7 linked regions of the Oryzias latipes genome follow. Each later gene encodes a partner of the first gene's protein in a complex. Links are inferred from orthologs where the notes say so. Each region holds a gene or a part of one and is shown in the gene's direction. Other genes may lie near its edges.

Evidence for each region.
Region 2: ccnc (region 1) and med13l share a complex: the UniProt entries of both Homo sapiens proteins name them as parts of the mediator complex. The link is inferred for Oryzias latipes from reciprocal best matches to the Homo sapiens genes CCNC and MED13L.
Region 3: the proteins of ccnc (region 1) and cdk8 are in contact, whole or in part, in a crystal structure (PDB 5CEI), measured with the Homo sapiens proteins. The link is inferred for Oryzias latipes from reciprocal best matches to the Homo sapiens genes CCNC and CDK8. Residues at the interface, in NP_005181.2 of Homo sapiens: Met1, Ala2, Gly3, Asn4, Ser8, Ser9, His10, Gln13, Phe72, Tyr76, Lys79, Ser80, Ile81, Asp82, Leu85, Leu93, Lys96, Val97, Glu98, Glu99, Phe100, Gly101, Val102, Tyr130, His134, Leu136, Glu137, Glu139, Phe140, Tyr141; in NP_001251.1 of Homo sapiens: Met1, Asp2, Tyr3, Asp4, Phe5, Lys6, Leu9, Arg13, Gly58, Ile59, Ser60, Met61, Cys64, Arg65, Ile67, Ala68, Leu69, Arg71, Glu72, Leu73, Val84, Leu86, Ser87, His88, Arg91, Lys92, Val93, Asn145, Trp146, Val147.
Region 4: ccnc (region 1) and med21 share a complex: the UniProt entries of both Homo sapiens proteins name them as parts of the mediator complex. The link is inferred for Oryzias latipes from reciprocal best matches to the Homo sapiens genes CCNC and MED21.
Region 5: ccnc (region 1) and med25 share a complex: the UniProt entries of both Homo sapiens proteins name them as parts of the mediator complex. The link is inferred for Oryzias latipes from reciprocal best matches to the Homo sapiens genes CCNC and MED25.
Region 6: ccnc (region 1) and med16 share a complex: the UniProt entries of both Homo sapiens proteins name them as parts of the mediator complex. The link is inferred for Oryzias latipes from reciprocal best matches to the Homo sapiens genes CCNC and MED16.
Region 7: ccnc (region 1) and med23 share a complex: the UniProt entries of both Homo sapiens proteins name them as parts of the mediator complex. The link is inferred for Oryzias latipes from reciprocal best matches to the Homo sapiens genes CCNC and MED23.

Annotation. Positions count from the first base shown.
Region 1 is NC_019882.2:15,127,810-15,132,645, reverse strand, and holds the start of ccnc (cyclin-C), read left to right. Parts: upstream 1-1,674; 5' UTR 1,675-1,800; coding exon 1,801-1,832; intron 1,833-2,164; coding exon 2,165-2,271; intron 2,272-2,412; coding exon 2,413-2,497; intron 2,498-2,963; coding exon 2,964-3,033; intron 3,034-3,170; coding exon 3,171-3,222; intron 3,223-3,319; coding exon 3,320-3,375; intron 3,376-4,067; coding exon 4,068-4,103; intron 4,104-4,181; coding exon 4,182-4,273; intron 4,274-4,360; coding exon 4,361-4,428; intron 4,429-4,518; coding exon 4,519-4,598; intron 4,599-4,679; coding exon 4,680-4,798; intron 4,799-4,836. Other genes in the region: glial fibrillary acidic protein, read right to left, coding at 1-77, 264-429, 509-702. UniProt on the Homo sapiens protein: Component of the Mediator complex, a coactivator involved in regulated gene transcription of nearly all RNA polymerase II-dependent genes.
Region 2 is NC_019870.2:12,442,716-12,447,327, forward strand, and holds the start of med13l (mediator of RNA polymerase II transcription subunit 13-like), read left to right. Parts: upstream 1-1,402; 5' UTR 1,403-2,609; coding exon 2,610-2,681; intron 2,682-4,612. UniProt on the Homo sapiens protein: Component of the Mediator complex, a coactivator involved in the regulated transcription of nearly all RNA polymerase II-dependent genes.
Region 3 is NC_019878.2:17,538,640-17,542,197, reverse strand, and holds part of cdk8 (cyclin-dependent kinase 8), read left to right. Parts: intron 1-63; coding exon 64-174; intron 175-695; coding exon 696-836; intron 837-1,277; coding exon 1,278-1,335; intron 1,336-1,418; coding exon 1,419-1,550; intron 1,551-1,634; coding exon 1,635-1,778; intron 1,779-2,308; coding exon 2,309-2,378; intron 2,379-2,530; coding exon 2,531-2,603; intron 2,604-2,683; coding exon 2,684-2,781; intron 2,782-2,963; coding exon 2,964-3,042; intron 3,043-3,187; coding exon 3,188-3,346; intron 3,347-3,558.
Region 4 is NC_019881.2:3,903,071-3,906,279, reverse strand, and holds the end of med21 (mediator of RNA polymerase II transcription subunit 21), read left to right. Parts: intron 1-629; coding exon 630-730; intron 731-1,729; coding exon 1,730-1,909; 3' UTR 1,910-2,175; downstream 2,176-3,209. UniProt on the Homo sapiens protein: Component of the Mediator complex, a coactivator involved in the regulated transcription of nearly all RNA polymerase II-dependent genes.
Region 5 is NC_019866.2:3,591,052-3,595,187, reverse strand, and holds part of med25 (mediator of RNA polymerase II transcription subunit 25), read left to right. Parts: intron 1-712; coding exon 713-829; intron 830-990; coding exon 991-1,062; intron 1,063-2,188; coding exon 2,189-2,359; intron 2,360-2,437; coding exon 2,438-2,561; intron 2,562-3,661; coding exon 3,662-3,765; 3' UTR 3,766-4,136. UniProt on the Homo sapiens protein: Component of the Mediator complex, a coactivator involved in the regulated transcription of nearly all RNA polymerase II-dependent genes.
Region 6 is NC_019862.2:1,605,171-1,610,060, forward strand, and holds the start of med16 (mediator of RNA polymerase II transcription subunit 16), read left to right. Parts: upstream 1-1,596; 5' UTR 1,597-1,754; intron 1,755-3,659; 5' UTR 3,660-3,697; coding exon 3,698-3,836; intron 3,837-3,906; coding exon 3,907-4,014; intron 4,015-4,095; coding exon 4,096-4,265; intron 4,266-4,337; coding exon 4,338-4,619; intron 4,620-4,689; coding exon 4,690-4,839; intron 4,840-4,890. UniProt on the Homo sapiens protein: Component of the Mediator complex, a coactivator involved in the regulated transcription of nearly all RNA polymerase II-dependent genes.
Region 7 is NC_019882.2:15,918,483-15,923,335, reverse strand, and holds the start of med23 (mediator of RNA polymerase II transcription subunit 23), read left to right. Parts: upstream 1-1,511; 5' UTR 1,512-1,635; coding exon 1,636-1,695; intron 1,696-2,089; coding exon 2,090-2,121; intron 2,122-2,352; coding exon 2,353-2,440; intron 2,441-2,530; coding exon 2,531-2,655; intron 2,656-2,941; coding exon 2,942-3,053; intron 3,054-3,157; coding exon 3,158-3,256; intron 3,257-3,362; coding exon 3,363-3,464; intron 3,465-3,566; coding exon 3,567-3,636; intron 3,637-4,853. Other genes in the region: interleukin-20 receptor subunit alpha, read right to left, coding at 718-766. UniProt on the Homo sapiens protein: Required for transcriptional activation subsequent to the assembly of the pre-initiation complex. Component of the Mediator complex, a coactivator involved in the regulated transcription of nearly all RNA polymerase II-dependent genes.

The DNA of each region.
Region 1 (4,836 bases):
GATGTTCTTTCATAGGAGCTCTTTAAGGCCTCAATCTCAGCCTCCAAAAGGTTGTTTTTGGATTCCAATGATCGAACCTGTGCAAATAAACACAAAAGTGAAAGACCTACCCAGTTGCCACCGGGCTTTAATACTTTTCTTAAATAAGCAAAATTCCCAAGAGGTAAGCACCAAACACAGAAAAGGTTTTAAGGTTTGTCATAGTGTGAACGTGACAGCCAAGCAAAAGCTGCATATTCGACTTGTAAATCTTTGTATCTTGCCTTTTCAATATAAACTGTCAGACGATCATTGAGAACAACCATCTCCTGCTTCTCATTGGTGCGTGTCAACTTGAAGGCCTGGTTTTGTGCTGCAGCCACATCCAGATCCATCTTATTCCCCGGTTCCAGGGATGAACCTACACAAAGGACCCCCATACTTGAACTGCTGCAGGAGCCCAAAAATAATGGTGTAAGTGGCTTTGTGTTGTGGGCTTTTTGTGTAGCTGGCTGAGGTGATGACCTACCTTGTCAGTTTTTGCTTGGTGAGTGCTCTATGCCCCCCCAACTTCCACCCGCCACTTCGGTTGAAGCTGGCTGAGCGGTGGCGGTTCTCTCTCCTGGTGGGAGAAGGACTGGAAACCCGGAGGTGGGATGTTGAGGCAATGTTGTCCTCAAAACAACGGCGGTATGAAGACATCCTCTCCGGGCTTCGGCTCATGGTGGCTTTTAAGTTGATGCAACTGTAGTTGGAAACTGGAAATGGAGCCTTTGCTTCTTCTGTCAGTCTGAGGAGGTGGGGTCTTTATACACTTCTTGGCCCTTCCCCTAACACTACAGTGAAATGCTGAACCCTTCCATACCAAGTATGAATGCCTGCACAGGCATCTATCAACAACAAGCCAAATAATTTGGCCTATAGGCTGTTGAAAGAACATTGTGCTTCGAATGATGAAGGACTTAATTAATTTTGAAGTAAAAGCTGAATTAAACATTACTTTCAAATGTTAAGTACAAGCAAAATGAACAATACAAACTGATTTTTAGTTGTCTTAATTACAATAAAAACAAGTAAAACATTTGAAAAAACAGAACACCACTGACTTCACGAAAGGCTAATTGAAATTAAATAAATACAATAGAATACAATTTCCTGTTTTTCTATAGGGCTACGTAATTTGTTTAGACCAAAGAAAAGATGTCTGCAATCGCTGATCGCTAAATCGCTAAAAGTCAAAAGTCCTTAATTGCTGCTTTTTGTTTTTTTAATATTAATAGACTATATTAGGTATAACCCTTTACACAATGTAGAATAACTATAGCCAAAATAAAATAATTAAAAAAAAAAACAACTTGTAGTTGACTTAACCACAAACAAATATGGTATAAAAGCTCTAGTTACCCAAATGCTTTAATATTCAATTGAGTTTAGGAGATAATCAATGAACCCTTTGAAATAAAGGATGCTATGTTTATTTGACCACTTTCTTTATTTCCTTTTTCCCTTCTGTTGCTTGAAAACCTCATATACTAGCCTCATCACATCTACTTTAAACGTCTAAACATGGTAAATGGCATCTTAAACAATTAGTTTTATAAATGTTTTAATCATGCAAAACATGTGAGTATACCCTCTTTGAAGTAATCGTGTTTCCCGACATTTACAGGAGACTGCGGAACCAATCTTTGGGCTCGTCGGAACGTTATTCGTGATACACCAGCTCTGCCACTTTAATTACTTTTCTCGCTGTCTCCGCTCTTTTGTTGGTTAAAAAAAACACAATTTTCCTTTCTGTAAATTTCTACCTCAACTGCAGTGATGGCGGGTAACTTTTGGCAGAGTTCTCATTAGTGAGTTTTTGTTAAAATAATATCGACGTTGTGTGTGTTTTTGTCGTAATCATCAGCCGCTTCGCTTGTGAGGCCTAGCTAGCTGCTATTTTTGTTCTGCGTTGAAGCTAACAGTTTACTTATAGCATTGTGGTGTAAAAATAACACTTGGGGAACACACTGTAACTAAAAATGTGGACTTTCTTTCCTTTGAGCTCCAGCAATGGTTCTTGTTTTCGTTGTGTTTTGTTGCCGTCACGTCAGGAGCTTGTTACTGTTAGTCAAGTGAATTTGACCCGTTCAAACGTCTGTATAAATTTATCATATAAAGTAATCTTGCTTATCTTTTAAAGTCTGCAGTGGGTCTTGGACAAACAGGACCTCATAAAGGAGCGCCAGAAAGACCTGAAGTTTCTCTCGGAGGAGGAGTACTGGAAGCTTCAGATTTTCTTTGCAAATGGTGAGTTTTTTTTCTAATACATTCATGCAGGTTTTGGGTCTGTTTCCGGGTCTGTTTGAAAACATGAGAAAATCTTGAATAGTCACGAACAAAACCTAAATCACACACTTCAACTAATGTTTTTCATTTGGTATTTTTCAGTTATCCAAGCTCTGGGCGAACATCTGAAGCTGCGCCAGCAGGTCATTGCTACTGCGACTGTGTACTTTAAGCGCTTCTACGCCCGGTAAGGAGCTCGAAACGCTTTTTCCATAAGTTAAGCTGTTGGTATTTTACACGTTTGTGCTGACAGCTCATGGAGGGTAAAGTGTGAACATATTGGGCAGCCCTAATGAGATTACATCAGTGTTGATGACAGTTTCATTTCTGCAGAGCATCAACAGCTTTTGTGTCCGGGAGCGGATAAGTTGGTCTGGTTTATTGAACCCTGTAACAAAAGGCTGTCGACATGATGTATCAATGAGTAAACAAAGGAATGTTTACTTTTGCTGACATTAGCATAACAGTTAGGAAGGCAAAAAAAACAAAAAAAAAACTTTCCTCTTTTGTTTTAAATTCTTTCCCTTAACTATACTGTGCTTACTACCCATGTAGCCATGATTATCTTTGGCTACTCTTACTTTTTGACGTCGTCAGCATTTCTTTCCATGATCTGTTTGTTTAATATTTAAATACCTTGTGTCATTTTGCAGGTATTCTCTGAAGAGTATAGATCCGGTGCTCATGGCTCCCACTTGTGTGTTCCTGGCCTCTAAAGTTGAGGTATAAATTTGGTGGAATCATCTTTAACATTTCATGTTACATTTCATTTTTAATCATAAGTGAGACACATTTTAGGGTCTTTAACTGCTTCTTTAGTACACACGATAATCTGTTTTGTATTGCTTATTTTCCTGTAGGAATTTGGAGTCGTGTCCAACACCAGATTGATCTCAGCCGCCACCTCTGTATGTAAGTGACCCACATTGTGGATCTCAAATTTAAGTTTTCCCTGTTTTCATTTGGAGTTTCCAGCAACACAAATTTTTTTTCTTCTGTTTTTTTGTAGTAAAAACAAGATTTTCTTATGCCTTTCCAAAGGAGTTTCCTTACAGAATGAATCATGTGAGTAAAACACAGTGGAAGTAATCCGATTACGTCTGTGATTTTATGAAAAAGTTAAGAATCATGAACAAATCTGACGATGCAGAAATGTGACGGTAAACAGTAAATGCCATCAAGGTTTACTGGTTTAAGTTTCAAGAAGGTGAGGTCACATCAAACTGCTTCCTCTGCAAAGTTATTTATGTGCTGCATTGCAGCTTACCGAGAAGCCTTCAGACTGTATCACAGTGTTGCCACATTACTGCCTATCAGTGCGTTAGATTCCTCAGCTAATGTTCACACTCTGCTGACAAAAAAAAAGTCAGTCAGGGGGCTTGCTGCTCAATGCTTTTGCCTCGCAGATCTCCAGAGTTTCCAGAACAAGACGGCTCTGACGTAATGCTATATAAGCTATAAATTACGGAGGGGGGGGGGTTCAGACGGCAGAGATTGAGGTAGCAGAGGGCCGTGACTCGTAAACATCATTCATCTTGTGGACATTGGACACTTAGTAAAAGTGTGACAATGATGAAGTGCGAAGCTGTTAAAAGCAAACAAAGTCATCATCTGTACAGCAGGAGGTCAAAGGCCAGTCTGATGACGAGACTTAATAAATAAAAATGAATTCACAAATTTTGGGGGGCATTTTCAAAGTGAAAACATGATTAAATGTCTTTTTGAAATAATTCTAAACCTCTTTTTTTTCCCCCCAGATTCTAGAATGTGAGTTTTACCTTTTGGAGCTAATGGTGGGTGGAAATCTAGATAAAAAGGATGAGTTGTTTCATAGAGAGAAGAATTGATCCTTGATTGGCTTAATTTTTCAGGACTGCTGCCTGATTGTGTACCACCCCTACAGACCTCTGCTGCAGTATGTGCAGGACATGGGGCAGGAGGACATGCTGCTGCCCTTAGCATGGTACGTTCTGCCTCGTTTGAACAAAACCCATTGATGTTAGCTTATTTTTCCGCTGGAAGGCTTTGCATTGTTTTCTGCCTTTACCAGGCGAATAGTGAACGACACGTACAGGACAGATCTGTGTCTGCTCTACCCTCCCTTCATGATAGCTTTAGGTAAGAAATGCCTCTTAGGTTTTGAAAGTAGAGCAGTTTAACTCACATTTCAAAAAGATGGATTAATTACTGCTTCTGTTCCTCCATCAGCTTGCCTACATGTGGCCTGTGTGGTGCAGCAGAAAGATGCCAGGCAGTGGTTTGCAGAGCTCTCTGTGGACATGGACAAAGTGAGATTCTTACCTTACTTTGATGTCCGTGTTGCACGCTTGGCTCTAAATGGGTGTGTGTGTGTTTGTGTGTGTGTGAAGATCCTGGAGATCATCCGCGTCATCCTGAAGCTCTACGATCAGTGGAAGAATTTTGACGACAGGAAAGAGATCGCTGCTGTTCTAAACAAGATGCCCAAACCTAAACCGCCTCCTACCAGGTACGTTTGGAGTCCTGTTTTCTTAATGGCTTGTTTAA
Region 2 (4,612 bases), on another chromosome or scaffold:
CAAATATACAGCTCAGTTGATAAGGTACAGGACCGTAAGAACAAGGATGTATTAGAATGAGACGACTCAAGTAATCCTACTCAGAGAGGTTACATACATGTGGAGTGAATGGATGCTGCACCCACAGTCAAGACTTACTGCAAAGCAAACACTTGCACAGTGTTCCAACATTCACAATGTCAATGAGAAGTATATATTTTAACGCTCTTAAAGCATATTAAGATATGTATTTGGGTCATTTTCGAATTGGAGGGCATTTTATGTCGCAACCATCACATTATGAAATGTTCTGCATACAAAATACAAAAAAAAACAAAAACAAAAAAAAAACCCTGCAGTTAATAAAAAGGACTTATACTGGAACAAAATCTACAAAAACTACAAGAAAAGAATTCCTACAATTGTTTAAAAAATACCAAATAAGCATTGAGTGCCCCTAAAAAAATGCGATTTTATTCCTTGTCCCACCCCCTCTATGTCCAAATTTAAATCTTCAACAAAACAGTTATCAAAGGAACAAGTGTCCCACAATGTACATGCAACCCTTTACCATAACCTTTTTAACATGGTAGAAGAAGAATTACTTATTTACAAGAGTAAGTTCGTCCTCTTGGTGATCAATAACAGCTAGTTAAACAACTGGCTTGCACTCCTGAGAGATAGCTAAAATAACATTTTCGACCCTGTTACCTGCAAAAACATTTGGAAAATGTTGTAAACAACAAATATATAATTTAATAAAAAAATGTACAATTGATCAGTAAGTTTAGCTATTCAAGCATTTGACAGTTTAATACTTATTGATAGATATGCAGCAGAAGATCAGAAAAGTGAAGGTTTACTTTTCAGGAATTTTGAAGCCCAAATGTCCTCCAATTCTGGAAGGACCCATATATGTATACCTTTATAATAGGCCTTTATGTAATAGTAAATAGTAATGTAATAGTATTAAAAAAAGAATCAATCGTCTTAACAAAATAAGCAGTAACAACACAGGCCTTAATTATTGGTATTTTCCATAAAAAAACAACTTCACATGTTTTTGTTTTTCTTAAAGCTGCATCAAAGAAACCTGAATTGTAAAAGCCAGATTCAGGTCACGTGATGACAAAGTTGGCCAACTGGGAAAAGCGATTCTGAGCTTCAGACCTCCATTACATCACAATGCGCGATGGTTTTGCGGCAGAAAACAAGACGCTTTGGAGCTTCGAGTAAAAACAAGCCCACTCTCTCTCTCTCTCTCTCTCTCTCTCTCTCTCTCTCTCTCTCTCTCTCTCTCTCTCTCTCTCTCTCTCTCTCTCTCTCTCTCACACACACACACACACACATGTGCGCACACGCACGCACGCACAGGGTGACACATTCGGGCTGCGCACGCCCATCTCAGTGTAATAACGCCGCTGCGAGACATAAACAATGAGGAAGGAGCAGTCGCGGTGGAGGAAATCATGCACATGTCTGAGGATTTAAATCAACAATCAATTCATTTCTCTTGAAGAAAGCGGATTCATTGGGGGGAATCGAACGCACGCCACATATTCTTTCCTGTCAATAAATTCGGCGCCAGACGAGGAGGGCCACTTTTTTTGTGTGTGCTGCTTCGAGTGTACATTTTTTTGTAGAAATAGTACTGGATGTTTTTGAGCAAGACTGAGGCTTTTGTGGCCGCGCGAGGACGTTTCGTAATGATAGAAAACTGAAAGGAAGGAAGGATTTTTTTCTCTAACCTCCGTCTACAGTCGCCTGCCGTTTTCCTGCTGTTGGAGTGTTTTACTTTTTTCTTGCCTGAGCGGTTTGACTCATGGTTCTGAGCTCGACTTTGTCCCCCCCCCCCCCTCCCCTCTCTCATTCTACAGCCTGCCCGATCGTTTGATTGAAAAGCAACAGAGGGATTAAAACCTTCGTTCGTGCTCGCAGCGCCTGTTTTGTGTGAGCCTGGCTGGGTTACATTGTGAGAGGAACGGTTGTGGCAAGAAAGAAGGCTATAAATAGCGCATGCAATTCTCGAAAACTATCACAAGTGGTGCATCAGCTTGTTGGAGCAGACGGAATCAGATATCCTGCATGTGATATCTGCGCGTTTATTATTTCTCCGCGCCGTCGATCATGCGCATGCGGTTCGTCTAAAGAACAAAGTTGATGCGTAATTTTGCATTTTTCTGTTCCTGGGCGCAGAAGACGGCACTCGATCTCTGATGGATTATGGTGATTTAATTACGAAACTATCCGCGGACAGACTGCTCTGGAAAGGGTCTGGTCTTTTGTGTGTGGATTGAAGAAATGGAGCTGCTCTCCGTCAGCGATCAGATGTGGAATCGCCCGGACCGGATTGTAATGTTGTGATCCCCGCACATGCTTGGATTTATTGCGTTCAGGCTACAAGAAAGCTCGGGCTTCATTGGATGCATTCTGCACTTCTTTCTGAATACGCCCATTCCTCCACCGACCATCCCGTACAGCCTGTTATCCGGGACCTCCTTGTGAGGGTTTAAGCCTGCTGGTTTCGGCAGACTCACAAGGGGAACCGATTCGTCACCCCCTGCTCGGTGCTAGCAACCGATGTAGGATTTCGACATGCCATGCGCTGACGACCCCAAAGGCGGACGATTATGACTGCATCGGCGAATTGGGTGGCTAACGGGGCAAGCCTTGAGGACTGCCACTCCAACATCTTCTCTCTGGTACGATAAATCCTGTTCATCACACACACACACAGGCAGGCAGGCAGTTGTGATCGACAAAGTCATAAGACCGTGGGAGGCACGCTTCAGTGTGTCTGTGCGCAAAAGTGAACCAAACGCTGATGTTATTTGACAATCATTAACAAAAGATCTCCAGTAAGGCTGTTATGATGGCACACTCCACATACCTAACCAGCAGGAACTCTTCTTATGGTATTATTTTACGCATTTATTGCCAACAATTGGAAAAACGAAGCTGTCTTTCTCAAATATATTTCTATTGAAATATTTCCTAATAATAGTTTTATGTGTGAAAAGAATTCCATGACCTCAGGAACACTGAGGAAACAAACATGTCACACAACAAAGATGGCTTTTGGCAATCAAGCATATCACTTTCATTTAATATATATGTAAAAAATGGGTTGGTTTTTTTTTTTGACTGAGTGCAGTGTCATGCTTTCTTGTGCACAACTCTGGTTTTTGAGGGCGGAGGAGAAAAGAGCAGAGTGTTTTCACAGTTTTCATCCTGTAGTCAGCGAGTTAACTGTCTTACCACAACAGGCAGTCAAGTGGAAAGGCATGCAGTGGACTGGGCTCAGGCTGCTGAGAACCACAACAACATAGGGGTCCTGGGGGCTTTTCAGGTGAGGTGCAGGTTGAGGAGCAATAACAGTCCCTATTACATTAAACAAATCACTGCAAGGGTACACAAAACATGTTACTAAAGGAGGTTTGAACGAATGATCACAAAGAGAGTGAGGAAATATTTCCTTTTTTTACAGCACTGTGTAAAAAGCAGGGAGTGTGTGGGACTTAAAGCTACCCCATTAACTTTTTAAAAGCATCTTGTGTGACTTTCTACGCATTCATGGGGAGATGCATCCCAATATAAGCAGTCTTAAATCTTCTCAGCTTGACACAATAGAAAACAACGATTGCATTTCTGTCACCGTCTCATTCGTGGCTATTCCCTTGTGGGGAAAAAAAAAGCTCTCATTCACTCACTGTGGCTTTATTGGCCATCGTGAACATCCCTTTCAAACTGAGGGTGAACGAAACCATCCATCAGCCGGCTTGTTGAGAATATTTATGACTGGCGAGTGCCTCAGCAGTTACTCACTGGCAGGGTTCCTGCAGGGGAGTCCTGGATGGGACAAAACACTAATGACACACCAAGTGTCCTGGTTAGAGGCTACAGTGACAAATGTAGGGATGGAAAAATGTATCGTTGGGTTTACAGTGAAGGAATGTGCAGGGAAAGGTTAGAGGTGCAAGTTAGGATTCTGCAACACAGCAACAGATTTTTAGCAAAGTTGCAGTTGTTGGGTATATATTTGTAAGTTGTCCATGTGTTGCATTCATCCCTTAACCCTGTTTTCACTTATTAGACTAACAAATGGGTTGCGTGTCCAGATATGGGAAATTCTAAGACTTGAATTACAGGTTTTTACGTTTATCCTGTTTAAAACTTGCAGTTTTAAATTCATCTAGCTGCACAAAGCTACTTTCTAGGGATACCACAATTGTCACTCAAAAACCGAACCACATGTTACACCATTAAACCGATTAGGGAATCCCTACTGTATACCAGTATGTTTACATTGAATGTGTCCAAAAGTTGTGCTAAATTAAAGAAGGTTTTAGCAATTATTGTTTTATTACATTAACCCAGGCTTATTATGAGCCAAGTAGAGGGATTTTCTTCATCGTTTCTTGCTTTCTAGCAAATTAAAAAAAAAGGATTTTTCTGAATTTTTAGGTTTTTGTGTATTTGTAATAGACAAATCATATATCGAACCGAAACTAAACCGTGACCCAAAAATTGAGGTTTTAATTATGGGGGAAAGGGGAATCGTTGCAACTCTACTACTTACCACAAGTAAAAGAGATGGCATGGCTGATTAACATTATTATCCCCTTCTCCAAGT
Region 3 (3,558 bases), on another chromosome or scaffold:
CTGGTCTGTGTGTTTTTGTCGTTCCTGATTTATGCCATGGAGCTGAAGGGTTTTATGTTGCAGCTGCTGCGGGAGCTGAAGCACCCCAATGTCATCTCCCTGCAGAAGGTTTTCCTGTCACACGCGGACCGTAAAGTATGGCTGCTCTTTGACTATGCGGAGCATGATCTCTGGGTAAAATGGAAACACACACTGGAACTGCACTACTCATCAATCACACTACTGCTGTGCGAGGGGAGAGCCAATACGATGTTTTTCTACTTTAACTTTTTTCACAAGTAACAAATCCCCACCTATGCTCAACGATATGTTACATAAATTACACTGCACGTCAGTACTTTGAAGATTTTTCTCTACACGCGGGAATGCGCCCCTTTGATGCTTCACACTTCAGAAAGAAAAAAACAACAACACTCCAGTCTGTTGGTGTCATGAGAAGAATTACTTTGCTTTTTGGTAGTTAAACCCTTTTCCATTTAAGTAAGCAGTTACGACTGGCAGAGAATGTAAGTGAAATACCTTTTACTGCCGCAGAGCTGCAACACTTGCATTCCCCCTCCACAGAAGTGGAAACACATGCTTAAACCATATTGCCTGTAGAACACACATGTCAGTGTGTGGATCTGTAGAAAAGAGTCCATTTTGGTAAATGTGCTCATTCATGGTACAGCTGCTGTTTTCTTGTCTTCCCGTAGCACATTATAAAGTTTCACAGAGCATCCAAGGCCAACAAGAAGCCGCTTCAGCTTCCCAGAGGAATGGTGAAGTCTCTGCTCTACCAGATTCTGGATGGCATCCATTACCTCCATGCCAACTGGGTCCTACACAGAGACCTTGTAAGAGGATTGGGGTTTAGGAGGGTGAAGGTTTTTTAGCTAAAATAGAAAGAAAAAAACCAAAGTAAAGAAAAAAAAATGGATTAAATGTAAAAACAGCGTGGGTTTAGTGCAAATTACCACTTATCCTTTAAAATGCTAAATAGTGCTGACCTTCTTTAACTGATATAGGCTTCTTTTCATATAATATTTCTCCTTTTGTTTTTCTCAGAAAATATAGCACCTGAGCTTAATTTACAAAAAAAGCTAATACAGCTTATGAAGTTTTGATTTTGTCCACTAGAGGGCAGCAACAAATAGTTTTTGTTTAATGCATTTACTTTTACAGTGAAAGTCAAGTTCACAAATTGGACTAAACAACAACAAAAAAGAGACAGTTGCTGTTGCTTATCTTGTTCAAATTTTACTGTAACTTATTGTTTTTTTTATTGCCCTATTTAGAAACCTGCTAATATTTTAGTGATGGGAGAAGGGCCTGAGAGGGGCAGAGTAAAGATCGGTATGCATCACTGGACATTTACAAATTGCCTACAATGGTTAAGACTTCCTTTTAATTTTACTCAAAACATGCCTGTTGTGCAGCCGATATGGGGTTTGCTCGTCTTTTCAATTCACCGCTGAAGCCTTTAGCCGACCTGGACCCCGTGGTAGTCACTTTCTGGTACAGAGCACCTGAACTGCTGCTGGGAGCCCGGCACTACACCAAAGCCATCGGTGAGATAGTCTTCTCTAAAGCTTTGTGACCGTTTTAGGCGAAACCATGAATCATGGATCCATTTGTTCCCTTTTTTCTGCTAGACATTTGGGCAATTGGCTGCATTTTCGCGGAGCTGCTGACATCTGAACCCATATTCCACTGTCGCCAGGAGGACATCAAGACTAGCAACCCCTACCACCATGACCAACTGGACCGCATCTTTAATGTCATGGGCTTTCCTGCTGGTAAGATTCAGCTGCGATCAGAATTCATGGGGAAAATATGTTGCATCTGCTTTTTGCCTCTCCAGTATAGAAATAACGTTTAAAAACTTTACCTCCATCTTTGAAATTTTTTTATTTATTTGCTTCTGATGTTGCTGACTTCTGAAGTTGGTAATGCAGTCTGTGGGTTGTGAACATCAGCCTTCAGACTCTAAAATGTAAAACCTTTTAGTTGGGGGGCTACATTTGTACCAATAATTTCCACTTCACTTGATCTGATTTTTTTCTTTTTCCCTTCAGTCATTTCAACTGTGATCAAAGTCTAATACAGAAATCAAATGGACAGATTGCTGTTATGTTTACAGAAAATCAGCAAGTTTATATTTTTAGATTTTATTTGCTAGTTTACTGAAAAGAGAGTCAAAAAAGCACCACTTCTCAGTTAAAAAATAGAGAATGGCTTGTAAGTTGAAGGGTACAAAAGTATACTTAAAAAGTGCAGTTTATGAAGTAAATGAGGGAATGTCACTGCATTTCCCCTCATCTAACAGATAAAGATTGGGAAGACATCAAAAAGATGCCAGAGCACTCCACACTCATGAAAGACTTTCGGAGGAACACGTGAGTCTTTTTTCATTTTTTGCTTCAGCAAAGTGAAAGAAACATTGGATTTTTCCTCAAGATAATATAGCAAGTGCATAAATATTCCTAAAAATGTGTCTTGATTTCACTAAAAGAAATTTTAAAAAAAGTTACTTCTAATCTAATTGCAGATACACAAACTGCAGCCTTATAAAGTACATGGAAAAACATAAAGTCAAACCAGACAGTAAAGCATTCCACTTGGTGAGTTCAAAGCCTCAGTAATGGAACTTTCTTAACTTGTATTTCTGTTTTTGAGACTCTGGCTGTGTGTTTCACTACAGCTCCAAAAGCTTTTGACCATGGACCCCATCCGCAGAATCACTTCTGAGCAGGCGATGCAGGACCCTTACTTTTTCGAGGAACCCTTACCCACATCTGAGTGAGTTACAGCAAATACGAGTTTATTCCCAGTGTGTGTGTGTGTGTGTGTGTGTTGTGCGAGCTCTTCACTCGGCTCGCATGATCAAGGGACCTCTTGGAAACGTCTCATCACTAGTTGGATCTGAGACGGGGGAATAAATGTTTGAAGATGATAGATTATTTTGCCTTTTTTCTCTGCAGTGTGTTCGCCGGATGTCAGATTCCTTATCCCAAGAGGGAATTCCTGACAGAAGAGGAGCCAGAAGACAAAGCGGACAAAGTAAAAATCTGTTGTTTATTCAAATAGTTTTTTGTTTTTTTTAAGAACTTTGTGTCCAGACAAATAATGGAAACATGTACATACAGCAAAACGTTGGTGTAAAACTATAATGATCTTTTTTTTGGGGGGGGGGCTTTTATTTTAGAAAAACCAGCAGCAGCAACAAGGAAATAACCACACAAATGGGGCGGGGCACACAGGCAACCCAGAAAACAGCCATGCACAGGGCCCTCCTCTGAAGAAAGTGAGAGTTGTCCCGCCCACCACTACCTCAGGTGGCCTCATCATCCCCCCAGACTACCAGGTAAACCATGCATCTACCACCACCATGCCCGCCTCCTCTTTCTAAGCCATGTTCAAACCTCCAGCTCTTCTGCATTGGTAAATGGGTGTTATACCATGGTGAATTCTCGATTCTGATGGGCTGCTGGATGTGCATTAAAAAGTGATATACCACAGTGATATACCACTAAAAGAGAAGTTCCGGTCACATAACATAAATGTTCTGTATCACTT
Region 4 (3,209 bases), on another chromosome or scaffold:
AGATTTGTTCTCCAGGTAGCAAACGGCAGAAGCTACACAGGAATGGTTTCAAAAGAACCGGGGAAATGTTCTGGAGTGGGCGAGTCAAAGCCCAGACCTAGATCCCATAGAGAATTTGGTGTGAGGAAAGACACATTTTATAGACCAAGGGGGGTTTATGAAAGCGACTAAAGGGACAAACATCCAAGGGAGGGAATACTTTTGCAAAAGACTGTAAGAGAAGTTATTGTTTCCTAATAATACTATGGAATGTCTAAAAGTAGTAATCCAAAGACTTCACTCAATGTAGGAGTAAACAAATAAGTAACTGTTCAGATAAGTGTCGTAATTTATGGAATTATTACCATATACTGATGATTTTCTAATACGACTGTCCATATTTAAAAATAAATGATACAAATTTGACGAAACATAAATGGTGACTAATGAGATACATACTTTGTTACTGAGTAACTGTCCAGACTTTAAGAAAAAAAAGAAAATCTGACTTTCATAAATAAAACTGCACAAATTTCTTAAGTGTGTGAGAGGAATCCTCTATTCAGTGAAAGCTGAAGCGTTAAAATACCAGAAATAACGTAACATTACCTTCTCTACAGTGACTTTTCTTCCTCTTTTTTTATTTTTAGAATACGCTCAGCTGTTTGCGGCTCTCATAGCCAGAACCGCCAAAGATGTGGACGTTCTCATCGACTCTCTGCCCAGCGAGGAGTCCACGGCGGCTCTGCAGGTCAGCATGGTCACGCACCCACACTTCCTCACTGAGCCACAAACTCCAGGAACCACCAGCAGCAAGTCAGGGGGAAAAGTTTGGAGCGTTTACAGCTTCCAGACAGCAGAGGGAGCCAGAGCAAAATCTGGAAAGGTTCCTGCTGTCAGTAGATGAAATCAACCGGCTCCTATCAATTAGACTGATCAAAGTCATTCTCATGGTAAATGATACAGCTGCATAGACTCAAGATTGCTACTATAAAATATCGACTCACTGGGACAAGTTTTTACTGAGAATTCTGTTCTTAGACTAGACTTGGCATGCTCTCTTATACGCTTTTCCTTCTTTTTAGGTATTAAAGTACATAAAAACATTTCTTCAGACATGTTGACACATCTATAAGGAGAAGTCTTTGTTTAATAGTTTTTCTATGGTCTGATGACAGAGCACACATCCCCTTGTGCTGTCTTTTGGGGTCTAGATGACCCAACTCCCAATGTTAGGCACGTTAACATTGGGAGTTGGGTCATCTAGACCCACTAGACAGTGCGCTGAACCTTTTTTCTTCAATGATTTGTGATCTTCACTGGTGTCCATGGATTACATGAAATCTTTCCACCTTTATCCACCTTTGTCATGGTAGGGAGAACACGCCAATGTAAGTAAAGTAAAATAACTCTTTATTTATATAGCACTTTTCACAGAGAGCGACTCACAAAGTGCTTCACAATGTTAAAACAATATAAAATCAGTAGCAATACCCAATAAAACACACACAGGCATAGAAGTAAACAAACAGGCAGAAGTGAACACAAGTAAAAGTCAGCTAAAAGCTCTCCTGAATAAAATTGTCTTAACTTGAGCTTTAAAACACTCAATTGAGTCAATCTGGCGCAGAGTCAATGTAAGGGCGGGGTCATCTGGACCCCACAAGATAGCACAAGGGTAACACTGGATCAGCATGAAGTCTGTTGTAAATATGTGTTTTTCTGAATGGACCATGTGACCCGTCGCCAGGCAGCCAGTCTGCGGCAGCTGGAGGAGGAGAACCACGAGGCGGCCGCTCGTCTGGAGGAGGTGGTTTTCCGCGGCGACATGCTGTTGAAGAGGATCCAGCACGCGCTGGCAGACATCGCCCAGTCTCAGCTGCGCACTCGCAGCGGAGCGAATGGCCAGCCGTCGCCGGCCGAGTCCTGACTGGGTCGGATTGAAGGGTTTTCCCTGCATGGAGGACTGGGAAGGAACGATGGAAAACAGGGGTGAAAATAGGAGTGACAGGATACGGAATGAAACCCTCAAAGTCTCGCTTTGCTGTCAGACCTACATTTCAACTTGCAAACCCCTGCTTTTGTATGTTTTGTCAGTTTTCTTTTGTATATTTATAACAGTGTGTGTTGTTTTTTTATTTGTGGTTTGTCACGAGGGTAAAGTCTTTAATAAAAAAACTCATTTAATTTGGTTAATCTGGTGTTTAAAGTCCCACTAATCTTTTGATCTACTTCAAAGTGTTCCTAGTGGTCTTTTAATTATGATAATGCTGTTTTAGCCAAAATAAAATGAAAAAACTGTCTCGTTTTCAAGGACATAGTTTCTCCAGAGTGGCAGGAGTTCATTAGAAATTCACCTTTGAGCCGTTGGATGGACTGTTGGAGTGGAGCAACCCCCCCTCTTCCCGTCACCCACCTGTTTACACTCTCCCCCGCTAGCCTACAACCTAGCATTAGCGGTGACGATTAGCGGCGAGCAACATCGTAGCTGTCCAGCCGTGCAGCTTAGACCCAGATTCCAGCTCAGACGAGGAAAACAAGGTCGTTCATGGATCCGTTCAACTGAGTCCATCAGAATGGAGCGGAGCTGGGAGCTTGTGGCCCCGCCCAGCTTCTTTTCTACGTCACGAGTTTTATAAAGAAACACTAATTTTCTAAATGCACGTTCTCCATCATGAGAAAAAAGCCTCACGAAGATGTTAAAAACACCGTTTTGATCTGAGTGGCAGCACTTCTTCATTTTAACCACACACGCCTCCGTCTCCTTATATCACAGCCCATCATGAAACGGGTTTGGGCCCGGTGCGTGTCTCTGCAGGTGGGCCGCTTCAGCTGTGGCCTGGGGGTTCAGTTTGTGGTCAGGACGAGGCAGCTGCCCTTCATGTCCTTATGAGAGACGAGGCGCCATCGGTTGAGCGAACTCTGGAAGTCCTGGAGGATAAGGAGCCTCAGGACTGGGAGGAGGGGTCCATCAGAAGATCAGCCTGTAAATGTAGAAGATTCCTTTATAGCACTGAGGCCCCCGGGGGCCTCAGTGCTATAAAGGAATCTTCTACATTTACAGGTGCTGTGCTTTCTGCTTTGATCTACAATTTCAAGAATTCAGAAAAGACTAGATTATTTGATCTGTTGATTGGATCTCTTATTAACTTTTACAACTCTACAGATAAGGTCAGTCACATCCCCGCTGTCTTGTTGAACAAAAAGAAGTCAGAGCTTCCCGGAAAAGA
Region 5 (4,136 bases), on another chromosome or scaffold:
TCTTAATTTAGTAAAAGTAAAGACCTAAAGAAAGACAACGTTGTTTTTTTCTAAATTCCGTTAATCCGGTTGTGTTTTTCTCAAAGGTTTTTCTTTGAAGTCATCAAACATGAATCTCAGTCTCAGCAGCTGGTTTTGGAGGCTGGAGCTCCAAACGTTCCTCCTCTCCAATGATGAAGCAGCTTTGTGTTTTGGTCACAAATGATCAGTGATTGATTGTTCAGTCTTTCTGTTGTTTTTCTGCTGTCATCTGAAATCGGGAATGACGAGCATCCAACAGGGAAAAGGATGAAAATGACCTAAATGTTTGTGTTTTAGTCTGACAGTTTACTGGCAGAGCGTGATTGGATGATTCGATTTTCTACTTATTGAATGGCATCATAATTTACTGTACATAAAGTTAGTTTTCTGTTGTTGAGTATTTTTAGCAACCAAACAATGGAAAAACATGAAGGGAGACTCCAAATATTAGATGCCTGGAAGACTAAATTTGGATTTAACTCTTTATTTCCAACTCTAGAAAAAGTCCCTGATTGCTGTTAGATATAAGAAAATTATTGTTTTCTGTAGTTCTTTGTCATTTCAGCTTATTTTAGTTAAAAAACTTTAAATAAATCTGGTGCTTTTCTAATTTTAAGAGTAGGAAACTGAACCAAAAAAATGACCAAACGATTTTTTGATTTGTTTGTTTGTGTTGTTTTTTGTCATTTAGCAACAAATGGGTGCATCTGGGGGCCCAATGCAGCCTGGTCAAGTTCCCCCCAACCAGAACTTTCTTAACAGGGCCCCTGGTCCTATTCCCGTTTCCCACGGTAACGTCCAGCCTCAGGTAAATGACAGGGCTCTGCGCTGGCGATGCCTGCCTGCTCCTGGACACCGGGTTTCTTCTGCACGTTTGCACTTCTGCATGTTTGACTGGTAACTCTTCTTTTTCCTTCACCTTCATTTTTGCGTTCTGGCTTCCACCACTCTGGCCTGTGCTGCATCCAGTCTGTGGTGGTGGGCATGCCTCCTGTTAGTCAGGTCTCCATTATGGAGGAGCAGCAGAGACAAAACAACATGGTGAGATGCAAAGAGATTCCTTACAATTCAGCACGTTTCGATTCCACCAGGCTGGACTTTTTCTTATTTCTTTGAGTTCTGATATAACCTTTTCAGACTGTCACTACCATCTCAGTGCCTGTTTTTACTACCGCATGCCTTTACTGCTGAATATTTAGCTAACATGTGTGTTTGTGTGTTCAGAATATGTGTTCAACCCTGTGGCTTCACATGTTGGTGCCATTCAGAGGTTTTACAATTTAAATATCGATTAAGATGGGAAACGATTGAAGCTTGTTGAAAGTCCCAGCAGCCCCTTTATGGGTGGATACGGGGAGTCAAACCCGCAGGAAATTCTGAAGGTGTTCAGTTAGCCTGTGAGTGAAAATGCTGATGCATCATTTTTTGTTCCCAGCGAACTCTTAAACAAACACGCAAGGGGGAAGTAGGTGAGGCGCATGCGGGTTGTATGGATTTTTCATGTTATCCAAATCCTGTAGACCGAGCAAGCGCCGTGTTAGTGCTTTTCACGTGATACGTGCACGCTCCCCGCTTCAGCCTGACTGTTAGAAATGAGGAAATTAGACAATCAGAGTGTAGATTGTGTGGGCCTCCAGGCGTCCCACGTATCAAATGCACACCCTGTGTGTGCGACATCTGTGCGCGGTCGGTAAGGGGCCGGGACTCGCACCTTACCAGCGACTATAGAGGCATGAGGGCAGCAGACGACAGCTTCACCTGAACGCCACACGTGCGTGGAACTTACATTATCCTTGCAAATACTTACCAATACTTTATGACGTCCCTTAAGGGAACAGCAAGACACACCTGCGCTCCTCCTAAGATGCGGGGTCTCTATGACCCTCTACGGGCCCGAACGACCCAAAAACCTGCAGCATCCCCATAGAAGTGCATGTGACTAAAGCGGAAGTTTCTCCTCAGGTTTTTAGGTTAAGGTGTACAATCGCTGATGATAAATTCTGTTCAAGCTTCAGACTTTGTTTCCAAAATCCGCTGAAAGTCAGATTTCTGCCAAACGTTAACCTTACAGAATGATTTACTTCTACAGCGTCATTTCTCTGCAGGTCAACATTTCTCAGATGTTCTCATGTGCAGATTAAAACTGTGTTGCTAACCGTTCACTCAGATGACAATAAGAACAGCTGGACCAACCAATCAGCAGTCAGCGGTTAGTGGAGCTCCGCCCAATCAGATGGTGCAGAATACCCAGGCGCAGCCTCAGGGTCCCATTCTTCGCCTCTCAACCCCAGGAGCCAACCCTCAGCTTCGCAGTCTCCTCCTGAGCCAGCAGCAGCCAGTAAGACTGCAGGGAAGGACTCCGTCACCTGTCCTGTAGGAAAACTCTGAGCTGAGAGGGTCTGTGTCTGTGTCCCAGCAGCAGGGAGGGGTTCCTCACATGCAGGGCATGATGTCTCACCAAGGCCTAGGACAACAGTTGGTCCACCAAGCACCAGGAGGGGGGGCTCAAATGCAAGGCCAGTGGAGGCAACCCATGCCAGGTCAGCAAACAGCCGTCACAACGGGGAGAGTCCCACACAAATGTCAATATGGAGGTTATCTAAAAGACTAAACATTGCTATAAATAAAAATATTTAACATGTCGAACATTTTTTAGAAGAAATCTTATGAGGGTGTTTTAAAAATAGTCACTTTTCAAATGAAAGCAGATCTTTTGTGAGTTTAATGAAGTGTTTTTGTAAAAATGCTGCTTTTATTGTGTAGAACAACAAAACATTTTTGTACAGTAGTACCCCAGAGTTACATAAGCCTCTTCGACGGCACTTAAAGCTGCGTCACGCTGCCACTGCGTACATGTTGCACATTTTCCACCTATGACATTTTGGCCTTTCATGATGCATGTGTGATATACGTAAAGTCTTAGTCATTTGTCGATGTCCGCCGTGGGTTTGGTTTTGAGCTGTTCAAAGTTTTGGCTCGGTTTTTGCGTATTTTACGTGCAATTGCTACGGAAATCTTGCGCAGTTGTGCGCGATTTTTGCGGAATGCAAATTTATGGCTTTCCACGACCGCTCCACGTAAGTCTAACGGGCGTTTCACGCATATAACTTGTATATATAAACGCCGCACATATCTCATTTGAATTACATAATTGAAGCACGAATCACTCATGAATTGCACATAAACTGCGCAATAATGGTGCAGTCATAATGGTGGTCAAACTCTACTTATACCTCAGTTAATTATCACTGTATTTAATTAAGCATATATGATTTAAGTGACATTTTTGTTTTGTTTTCTGTCTTTTTAATCTATGCATTTCATCATTTCTGTAATGAGTTTGATAAATATGTGTAAATTCTTTATTGCTTTGACTACAATGCTTGAAATAAATCAATAAAATCAAAAATCAAATCAATCAAAATCAATAATCACGCACGGTTCATGTTCTACGTTGATTCACGTGTTCTTTGCGTGGTTTATCTGTACGTGTGCGGTTTGTTCATTCTCACAAACAGTGAGATAGACAGTGTAAGTCCATTAGCAAATGCTTCTGCTGGTTGGACTTCAAGAAAATCAAGTGGAAAATCTCCGATTCTTGCTAAAGACGGGAATGTTTTTGCCACTTTCCTGCGTTCAGGTCAGATGCTGATGGCCGGCGGGCAGAGAGGACCCGTGCCCCAGACTGGGATGCAGCAAGTCTCCAGCGCCATGGAGGACGACCTTCTCATGGATCTGATCTGAAGGACTTCAGTTTTAGTTCCGGCCGCCTGCTTCAGACATCTGCTCTGTTTCTTTCTTGGTTTAAATGTTCGTCGTAATCAAGAAATGAATCATGAGTAGTTTCTCCTTTTTATCCAGAGGCCTAAGCAGTGTCAGTTAATTAAGGTCAGACAATGTGAGCATTAGATTTTCATGTAAATGGTCAAACCGTGAGCACGCTAATCCTTCATGCTAAAACACTGGATTCTTACAGTGGAAGCACTTCATCGCCGGAAACTCCTCCTCTTTATGTTTTATACTTTGATACCTAAACTGTTCTTTCTTATTTGACTACAGCTGAAAATTTACAAATGTATATTTTTTGTTATCTATTAACTTGTTTTGAGAATAAA
Region 6 (4,890 bases), on another chromosome or scaffold:
GCAAGTTCAGGCGGACTTCAGCCAGAGTTCAGGCTTAAAGTCAGGGTAGTTTAAACATGCTTCCTGGAATACGCCCCCCAGGTGTTCTCACCTGACAACAAAGAAATTCAGCAGGACAGTGATGTTAATGACTTTTTTTTTGGTTTTAAGACAGATTTCCAGCCAGACCTATAACATTCTTTCATTCATTCATCATAGCAGTCTAAAAAATGTAATTCTATTAGTTTAAGAAGAGTCTCCAATGTACATGAATGTACATGCTCACCCAGTTGAATCAACGTTTTGGGACTCGTATGCCTGTGACCATGTGACGTATTTTTGACAGTTTGTTATCAAGGTAAATTTGGTATTCAAGACAAACAAGAGTCGTATTTATAACAAAGACAAATCGCATTCAAACGTAAAATTAAAATGTTGTCTTCATGTCTTTTTTTTGCAACTTTGTTTTTATGACTATGTTTCTTTTTGACAGATTTCTCACACCCTACATTCCTTTATTAAAAACAGAGAACTTATAACTAACAAAATGAGTATTAAAATCATCAAAACAGGAATATATGAGAGAAAATACATCAAATTCAAAAAATACAGCAAATTCACCGCAAAGCTGCAAATAAATGTGTAAATATGTGGGAATCAGTCTTTATTTTGTTCTGGACACCACTGGAAACACAAATTCATATGATGGTTTCTCAGATCGCCGCAGCATTTCCGCCTTCAGCGATCGCGGTGCGTCAGGAGGAGGACCGCAGAAGGCGGACATGCAGCTACTTAGTCCTGAGAAGCTGTGGAAACTCATCAGAAGTTCACAACCATCACAAAACCCTCTTCTCTGCCACTAACACAGTCTGCTCCTGGTGCGTGTGTGTGCGTCAGTCAGCAGCCGGACACACAGAGAAAGCAGTGACGTCATCGCCCCGCCTCCCCTCTGCTAATGCTTTTTCGAAATGAATATTGTGACAAGGTGCGCAGGGTGGATGTTAAAATGCAAATGCAATCCCCTCTTTGCATTTTCGTTTTAATTATGACACAGAATAAGCGGTTTTAAGTATAAAATGAAAAAGCATTTTGAAATATTGCTTTTTCTTTTTAATTTTGAGTCAAAAAATGCAGCTACATTTTGAAAATTAAAAAGCATTTCTGTTAATCCATTTTAATTGTCAAATTAGACATTTCTAAATGAATTATGCTACACATTTACCAGGGACCTTTTTGAAAATGAAATGTCAAATACCATTTTCTTTATCATTTTAATTAAGTGACAGAAAAAGCTGGGTTGAAGTATAAAATGAAAAAGCATTTTGAAGTATTGCTTTTTCTTTTGAGAGTGAGAATTGAAAATGTATTCAACTTAACTTTGTATTTTGCTCCTTGTTAATAAAGTTACAGAGGGAAAAAAAGGTTTACCTCGGGTTTAGCCAGACTAAAATAGGATCATAAAAGTATTTATTAGAAACGTTGTAGAAGACACAGTGTGGATTTTTAATTACTTCAATGTTTTTACTTAAGTTGAAAGCTTTGTAATAAATTGTCTGGGCCTAATTTTCTTATTTCGTACTCTAAACATATTTTTCAGACAGGCAGCTGTATAGGCACACATATACGGGGGCCTGACACGCGCCAGTCTCTGCTGCGGTCTTTGTTTCTTTCAAAGTGCCGTTCTTTCCAACTCGTATTTATGTTTTCTTTCTGAAGTCGTTCTTAAAACTTCTTTCAGTTTTGGCTGTTAACTTTTGAAAGCCAGTTTCAAATAGGTGAGTTCATCATAATAGACTAAGTCAGCGGGTTTTTCTTTTCATTTGCATCACGTTTTTTCTGGAGTTTTGCTGCTGGGTTTGTTTGTAAAGAAAGTCAAGAAAACCGAACTGTTGACGAGCAACACTTTTCTTTTGGAAATTCAAACTTGCATCGTTGTTCATAAAAACTTGGGGTAAACATCCAGAAGACTGATGTGTTTCGTGGTGCTGTCATGTGAGCAAATTCAAGTTTATGGTAGAATTTAAATAAATGACCGAATACATACAAGGTTTACTTACAGTGGGGCAAACAAAGTATTTAGTCAGCCACCAATTGTTTAGGTTCTCACAATTCAAAAAATGAGAGAGGCCTGTAATTTTAATCATAGGTAAACCTTAACTAATATGAGACAAAATGAGTTAAAAAAAACAGAAAATCACATTGTCTGACTTCTAAAGAATTTATTTGTAAATTATGATAGAAAATAACTTAATGATCAATGACAAAAGTTCATTTGCTGGAAATAACAGCTGTGACAGACTGGTGACCTGTCCAGGATGCCCCCAGCCTTCGTCCGCGAGTGGCTGGGATAGGCTCCAGCAGCCCCGCGACCCCGAGAGGGATAAAACAGATTAGAAGATGAATGAATGAATGAATGGCAATGACAGAACGATTGATCTGCGTAAAGGAAAGAAGGAATGGAGCAGTGTATGGTCAGATTTGGAGGGAAGCCTCCTTCCATCAGCATTAAAGATGAGACATGGTTGGATCTTTCAGCACGACAACGATCCTAAACACACGTTGCCCGGGTAACAAAGGAGTGGCTTCATAGGAAACATTTCAAAGTCCTAGTGTGGCCTAGACAGTCTCCAGATCTCAACCCCATAGAAAATCTTTGGAGGGGGTTGAAAGTTTGTGTGGCCCAGTGACAGCCCCAAAACATCACTGCTCTAGAGGAGATCTGCATGGAGGAATGGGCCAAAATACCAGCAACAGTTTTTGAAAACCTTGTGAAGACTTACAGAAAACGTCTGACTGCTGTCATTGTCAACAAAGGGTAAATAGCAACGTATTGACTTGAACTTTTTTATTGACCAAATACTTATTTTCCTCCATAATTTACGAATGAATTCTTTAAAAATTGGACAATGTGCTTTTCTGTATTTTTTTCAGATTTTGTTTCTCATAGTTGAGGTTTTGGCTCCATTGACCATTAAACTCAATGTAAATTCAAAACTAGTTTTGAATTTAGTTCCTGTAGTGAAGGAATGGAGATTGGAGATTCACAAATTTAATCTGCAAACGTTTTAAAAATATTTTAGTAAAACCTCATAAATGGTCTGAACTTTCTTCACTTAGATTTTTCAGCTTCATTATATTGAGTCAAATATAAACGGTCCGTCCTTCAATGTCTGTGTTTCTAACGTGAACTGATAACTGATGGCTATTAATGTCATGCTACTCACTACTTTTGTACTCTCCAAATGACACAAATTCCCATCTAACATTACCAAGTCACTTTGTTGATCCTCACTTTCAACTTTTAAGTTTACATTGTAAAATTCTCTAGTCATCATTCTGTGTCATATTTGTTTAATATTGTGACTTTATTCATGTGGCGTATGCTGCTGACCTCTTGGCCAGGTCACCCTTGAAGATGAGATCTGATCTCAGTGGGTTTCACTTGGTTAAAAAAAAAAAACCCACTGTGATGGAAATAGTGTTTTGGATGTTTTAAGAATCCTACCCTGACTGGGTATGTTTTCACAATAGATCAAAATAGGATTAAATGGAAACTTACTAAATATAATGCTTGACATGGTTAATTATTCTGTTCCTTAACAATGATCTAACCTCTAACCTGCTTTGAAATACAGATGTGTTCACTTAGTGACAGATGTGTTCCTCTGTCTCCCATTCAGGTCAGGTGTGGACGAGGCGTCTTTGTTCCCCTTTGGACATGGAACTGGCATATGTCTGTGACTGGGAGAAGCGACAGAAGAACGCTCACTGTCCATCCATACCAGTAGTGTGCTCGTGGTCCTGCAGGAACCTGGTGGCGTTTACCACAGACCTGAAAAGTGACGACAATGAGAAGGGTACACAGACACACACGCACACGCACACACGTCCAACTCTTGGTCCCGGCTACCTGAACCTCTTTTTCAGATGTCAGTCACATGATCCACATCATCGACACTGAGCACCCCTGGGATGTCTTTTCTATCAACTCTGGTCACACTGAGGTCATTTCCTGCCTGGAATGGGACCAGTCAGGTAGGCTTTACTTTAGTTGACTTTTTTCAGAGTATTAAACTGTTATTGTTTTGTCAAGTGCTTGTGTTCTTGTGTGTGTAGGATCACGGTTGCTCTCTGCCGATGGCGATGGTCAGATTAAGTGCTGGTCCATGACTGATCACTTGGTAAACAGCTGGGAGAGCATCCTGTCTAGCTCTTTGGATAGAGATCCCATAATTGCCCTTAGCTGGTTGCATAATGGAGTCAAACTGGCTCTGCATGTGGAGATGGTAAGGCACCTTCTACATAGTAGAAAAGCCCCAGAACCAGTAAAAAATTGACACGACATCTTCTGCTTTCAGTCTGGTTCCACAAACTTTGGAGAAAAGTTCTCCCGGGTGAAGTTCTCTCCTTCTCTCACCCTGTTTGGAGGAAAACCAATGGAAGGCTGGTTAGCAGTAACAGTTAGCGGTTTGGTCTCCGTGTCATTGCTAAAGCCAGGCGGCTCCTTGCTGACGGCCAGTGAGAGTCTGTGCCGGCTTCGAGGACGGGTGGCATTAGCTGATATTGCCTTCACTGGGGGAGGTAACATTGTGGTTGCAGCAACTGATGGAAGCAGCTCCTCTCCTGTCCAGTTCTACAAGGTCAGTTTGGTTACAGCCATTAAAGCTATTACCTGTTCTTCTTCTCAACTTTGTTTGACTGTGTATTCAGGTGGTGGTTAGTGTTGTGAGTGAGAAGTGTCGCATTGACACAGAGCTGTTACCATCCCTGTTTCTGCGCTGCACTACCGATCCAATGAGGAGGGACAAATACCCAGCTGTCACACACCTGAAATTCCTGACCAGAGAGAACTCTGAGCAGGTAATTATCCTCACAACTTCTGGTACCACGAAGCCTGCTGCCGTTTGAGCG
Region 7 (4,853 bases), about 790 kb from region 1:
CGTTTAAATAAAGACAGAAATTTAAAGGGTATAACTAAGAGTTTATGCCATTAACACCTACAGAAGACATCTTTGTTGTTTCAACAAAGTTTCAGAAGAAACCTTTATAGATCAATCCCTGTTATATGATACTTACATAAAGCCTCAGAGAACAAAAGGGCATGTAATTGAGTTTTAGGACCTTAGCAGTATCTATTTCACAGAAGTCATAAATGCCACAGAACTGTGTAAAAACAGCTCATACACTGCATTTTTAGCTTTACATTTAGTTAATAATGATAGACGTTTTTGATTTGTTATTGATCAATTAACAGCAAACTCATCTAGAAAGGTAAACATTATGGAAAAAAACCATCTATGTTTTTTATAAAGTTGATTATTTTTGTTATCTTGAACTGTTAAATAAGGTTTAAAATTATTACATTTACAACCAGATCACACACGTTTATAAACTTGTTGTCTTTAAAAAAAAATCAAAGATTTAAATAATTCTTTAATAGCTGTTAAAAGTAACCTATATGTTTAAAAAAAAGTCTGTTAATTGATCATTTTGCTTTTTTATTTTTTATTGAGAAAAAGGAGATAGTCAATATGAAATGACAGAAAGCCTTGGGAAAATTAGATCGGATTTCTCCTTTTGGACACATTTGACCAATTTTCTCATCCAGCGCGCGAGGATTTCTTTTAACACACAATAACATGTCAACAAATTCTTACCTGTGCAGGTAAGACCCAAGAGGTTCATTAGCACGAAGGCTGTCCACATCCTTGCGCGCGGGGGTTAGTTTATTTTTAAGGAGAATCAAGCTGCGCAGTCCCTCCACCTGCCGTGGACCAGTGACTTTTCACGCGCATTGAAGAAATCGGGTTGCCTCTCAACTAAAAAGAAAGTAAAATAAAAAATCTGTTAAACTAAAAGTGGAAAAAAGGAAGTAGAGGTAAGAATGCGCTCAATGAATGGGAGCGCTCTGCAAAAAAAATCCCCTTTCAACGACGCGTTAATTCCGTGTTTGAGAAAGGAATGTGGCTGTACCTGTCCGCGCGCACGACACCTGAGCAGGTGCAATTAATGTGGGATGGTCACGACCTCGTCATTTTTTTATTTTAGTTTACCACAGCCAATGATTTTGAAACACCCATTGACTTTTCATCTAAATTATGTCACATTACTGGGATAATTTGCAAACTAACTGTTGTCACTGATTTCGAATAAACAAGAAAGTTTATTAAGTGGTTGAGAGTTAAAACAGTAGAGTAATGTTTTGATCAGTGCCCTTAATAGTTTGTGGGCTACAAGCAGTGCGTGTATTTGAAAATAAAGAATCCCCGTTTCTTGAAACAGATAGTTTATCTGATCTTCAGCATAAGTTTTTTTTTTCTTTTTTAACAAGAGACCAAAGTTCTCGGTGTTGCCCGCCGCGACTGTTTATGGCGCTGAATTAACATGACTTTTAGTAGGTGGACATAAAGTTAGAGCGTAGCGGAACTATTTAGTGTGTGTTTCAAGTGTTCACCCGGATCACTTTTCAGTTGCACACGAAGTGGCGCTTCGTTCTCCAAAGACATTAGCATGCCGTTTGTTTGGAGCTCTGTTTGCAACAAAGCGTAGTGACTTTTGGTCAGATTTCACTCTGAATGATCGATATGGCGCTTTCGATGGAGTCTCAGTTGCAGAGCATCTTTGAAGATGTCGTGGTAAATTGCACCTTATAACAAAAATGGATCCACGACAGAGGATCTGTTAGCATTGATGATGCTTGTTTTTATTGTTGTTAGTATTTTTGCGAACTATCTTTTTTTTGTAGATAACCTGCATTAAAATACACAAATTAAATTACACGTGAATAACACTTGTTAACAAACAAATGTATCAGGTTTGGATTATAATCTGTTGTCAGTGGTGATGCTTTTGTTAACAAGGCACTTATCCTCAAAATGAATGAGTCTTTGTTTAGGTATTTTTGAAGCAAAGGCTATTTTCTTCCTTTGACTGCTGTCAATAGGAAAATTTTATTTTTGGTTGTTTGTATTTTGAATTTTGATCTCTTTTAACATCATAAATCATATTTTCTTCTTCTCAATCTTTCAGAAAACTGAGACAATAGAAGAAGCTTTTGCTGGGTAAGCTTGTTACTAACTTTTATTCATAATGAGTAATAAACATGTTGAAAAAAGGTCAAAATGCTTTGACTTTTAGTTCTGATTTTAAAAAAAAAGAATAGAAATCTGTAGTTTGTTTAATTTATTTTCTGCTCCTAAAACATATTTCACCCCTAAACATTGTGTTGGATTGACAACAAATGGTTCTTATTCCTAAACTAAAAAAGTGAAGCTGGCATTTTCGGGTTTCAGGATGTTCATGGACACTCCAGAGGATGAAAGAACTAAACTCATCAGTTGTCTGGGAGCCTTCAGACAGTACTGGGGAACTCTGCCACAGGTTTTTAAACTTATTTTTTTTAATATCTTAAACATTTATACACAAAGATACATCATATTCTGTATATTTATTCTTTTTTTTCCTCTTCAGGATTCTCACGAGCAGTGTGTTCAGTGGATTGTGCGCTTCATACACACTCAGCGCAGTCCCAAAAGGATCTCCTTCTTGTATGATTGTCTTGCAATGGCTGTGGAGACTAGTCTGTTGCCTCCCAGGTGCATACACTCATTTATCATAGTCTGCCCACATTCTTTACATTCATTTATGCAATTTATGAAAAGATAAAAGCTCCATATAAAGTTTTTTGAAGCTGAGTGTTTCCTCTTCCTTATATTTTCACTATTAAACACATTATTTTTTATTCATTTCTGCAGATTCTAATTCAAAGTGCATTTCTGCTTTGACCACTTTTTGAAAATGACAGTATTAGCTTGTTTGCTTATTCATTGTGAGGCTTGAAATTGTGTGACTCATTCCTTTGATGAATTCATTTGCTTTCAGGATGGTGTGTGTAGCTCTCATTAGCTCAGACAGCTTGGAGTGGGAAAGAACACAGTTATGGGCTTTAACCTTCAAGCTCATCCGCAAAATAATCGGAGGGGTGGACTACAAGGTGTTTGACGCACTAAAAATAAATCTCCTTTAAGCTTGAAAGACATTAATGGACTTTAAAAGAATTTAGTTTTGTTTTTAAAATCTGCTCTATATTTTCCTTAGGGTGTACGCGATCTGTTGAAAGGTGTTCTGGATAAAATTCAGACCGTCCCCATTACTGTCAGCTCAGCTATACTCCAGCAGCTGCTGGCCGCCAGGGAGGTACAGATCATTCCCGTTTTCTTGAATTCTGTAATTCAGATCCAGTTTTTTATTTGTCTTGACACAAACCGTAATTCTCAGATAGTCGTTTCTGCCCATTTTTCAGGTGGTGGAGTACATTTTGGACAGAAACGCCTGCCTCCTCCCAGCATACTTTGCTGTAACAGAAATAAGAAAACTGTACCCAGAAGGCCAGCTCTCACATTGGGTATGTGAATAATTACACGAGTGTGTAAATGTACATCCCTAACATCTTCAATTCTTTGAAACATGTCTTTGATTTTTGGGGTTTTCTGTGTTTGATTTTTAGATTTTGGGCAGTTTAATATCAGACTTTGTGGATAGTTTCAGACCTACAGCAAGAATCAACTCAATCTGTGGTAAAACTCACACACACCCAAACACACACACTTAAGGATTTTACAATTTTTTGTCTTTCTAAAGCATTTAACTATGCTAGATTTCTTTCAACTACGGCTGGATTAAAACAGCAAGGATCAGTTTAACAAATCAATAAATTAATTTTACTTTAACCCCTTCTTGCATGAACTTTATTTTGAAATTGAAAACATTTTTTACTTTCAATGTGATGCTAGATTTCTCTTGTACGGTATTAAATGATATTTTTTTCAGGCATAAAAAAAACTGCTTTTTGTTAATAAAAACATGACCAATCTTAGTTCTAATAATAAAACTTCCACTTTTGCTCAATTTGAAAGATAATTTTTCTAAGAACAAATTTTTCATAATCAAACTTAAGTGGTTTTAAAAGCAAAGTTTGTCATGCAAATCATTTTGTGAACTTGTAATTTGAAATCAAATCAGTAGTTTGGTTGCGATACCAAGCCCTTCTTTTAACAAGAAATTCTTACGTTTAATTTTTAATTCTAATTTAATAATTACCGGTAACCAAAAACCCACATAATGTCTGTAAATTTTGTGTGTAATGCAATAATTTAAAAAAAGGAAGTCCTCCGACTCCGCCTCTTCTTTGTGCTTGTTTAACAGCTTGCTGGTGTTTAGATAAACTGGAGGAAGTTTAAAAAGTCAAGTTTTAGAATAAACATATAAGCCAGCTATAGGTATTTACTGACCCTACAGTAAAGTTCACCATTGCTTGATTTGTGAGCGTGAAGCTGATTATCGCTCTCCATGCTGTGTGCGTGGCAGATCCAAATAAATGGGGATCCATGGGGATTCATTTTTTTTTCTTGTCCCTGAACGTGTGTTTTAATGCTTATCCAAGTAAGAAATAGATCGAAATAGATCTGGGATTTATACAAAACAGTTAAAATCATGGAAGAAACATCATATAGTACAGATTTTAATGATATATGTTCGTAATCTGCTGTCCCTAGGAAGGTTAAATGACAAACATCAGATTCACACTAAAATATATATATTTTTTAATCAGTTTCCTGCAGGGTTTTCCAAGAAAAGAAAACTTTTATTTAATAAAAAAATAAAAATAACACTATATTGGCATTTTAAAATGTTTTTTAGTGTAAATTTCTTTTATAAATTGTTGTTTTCTTAATTATTCAACTTTTTCCACATATCCTTGTAAATATTGGAAGTTTAATGTTAATGGAATTTG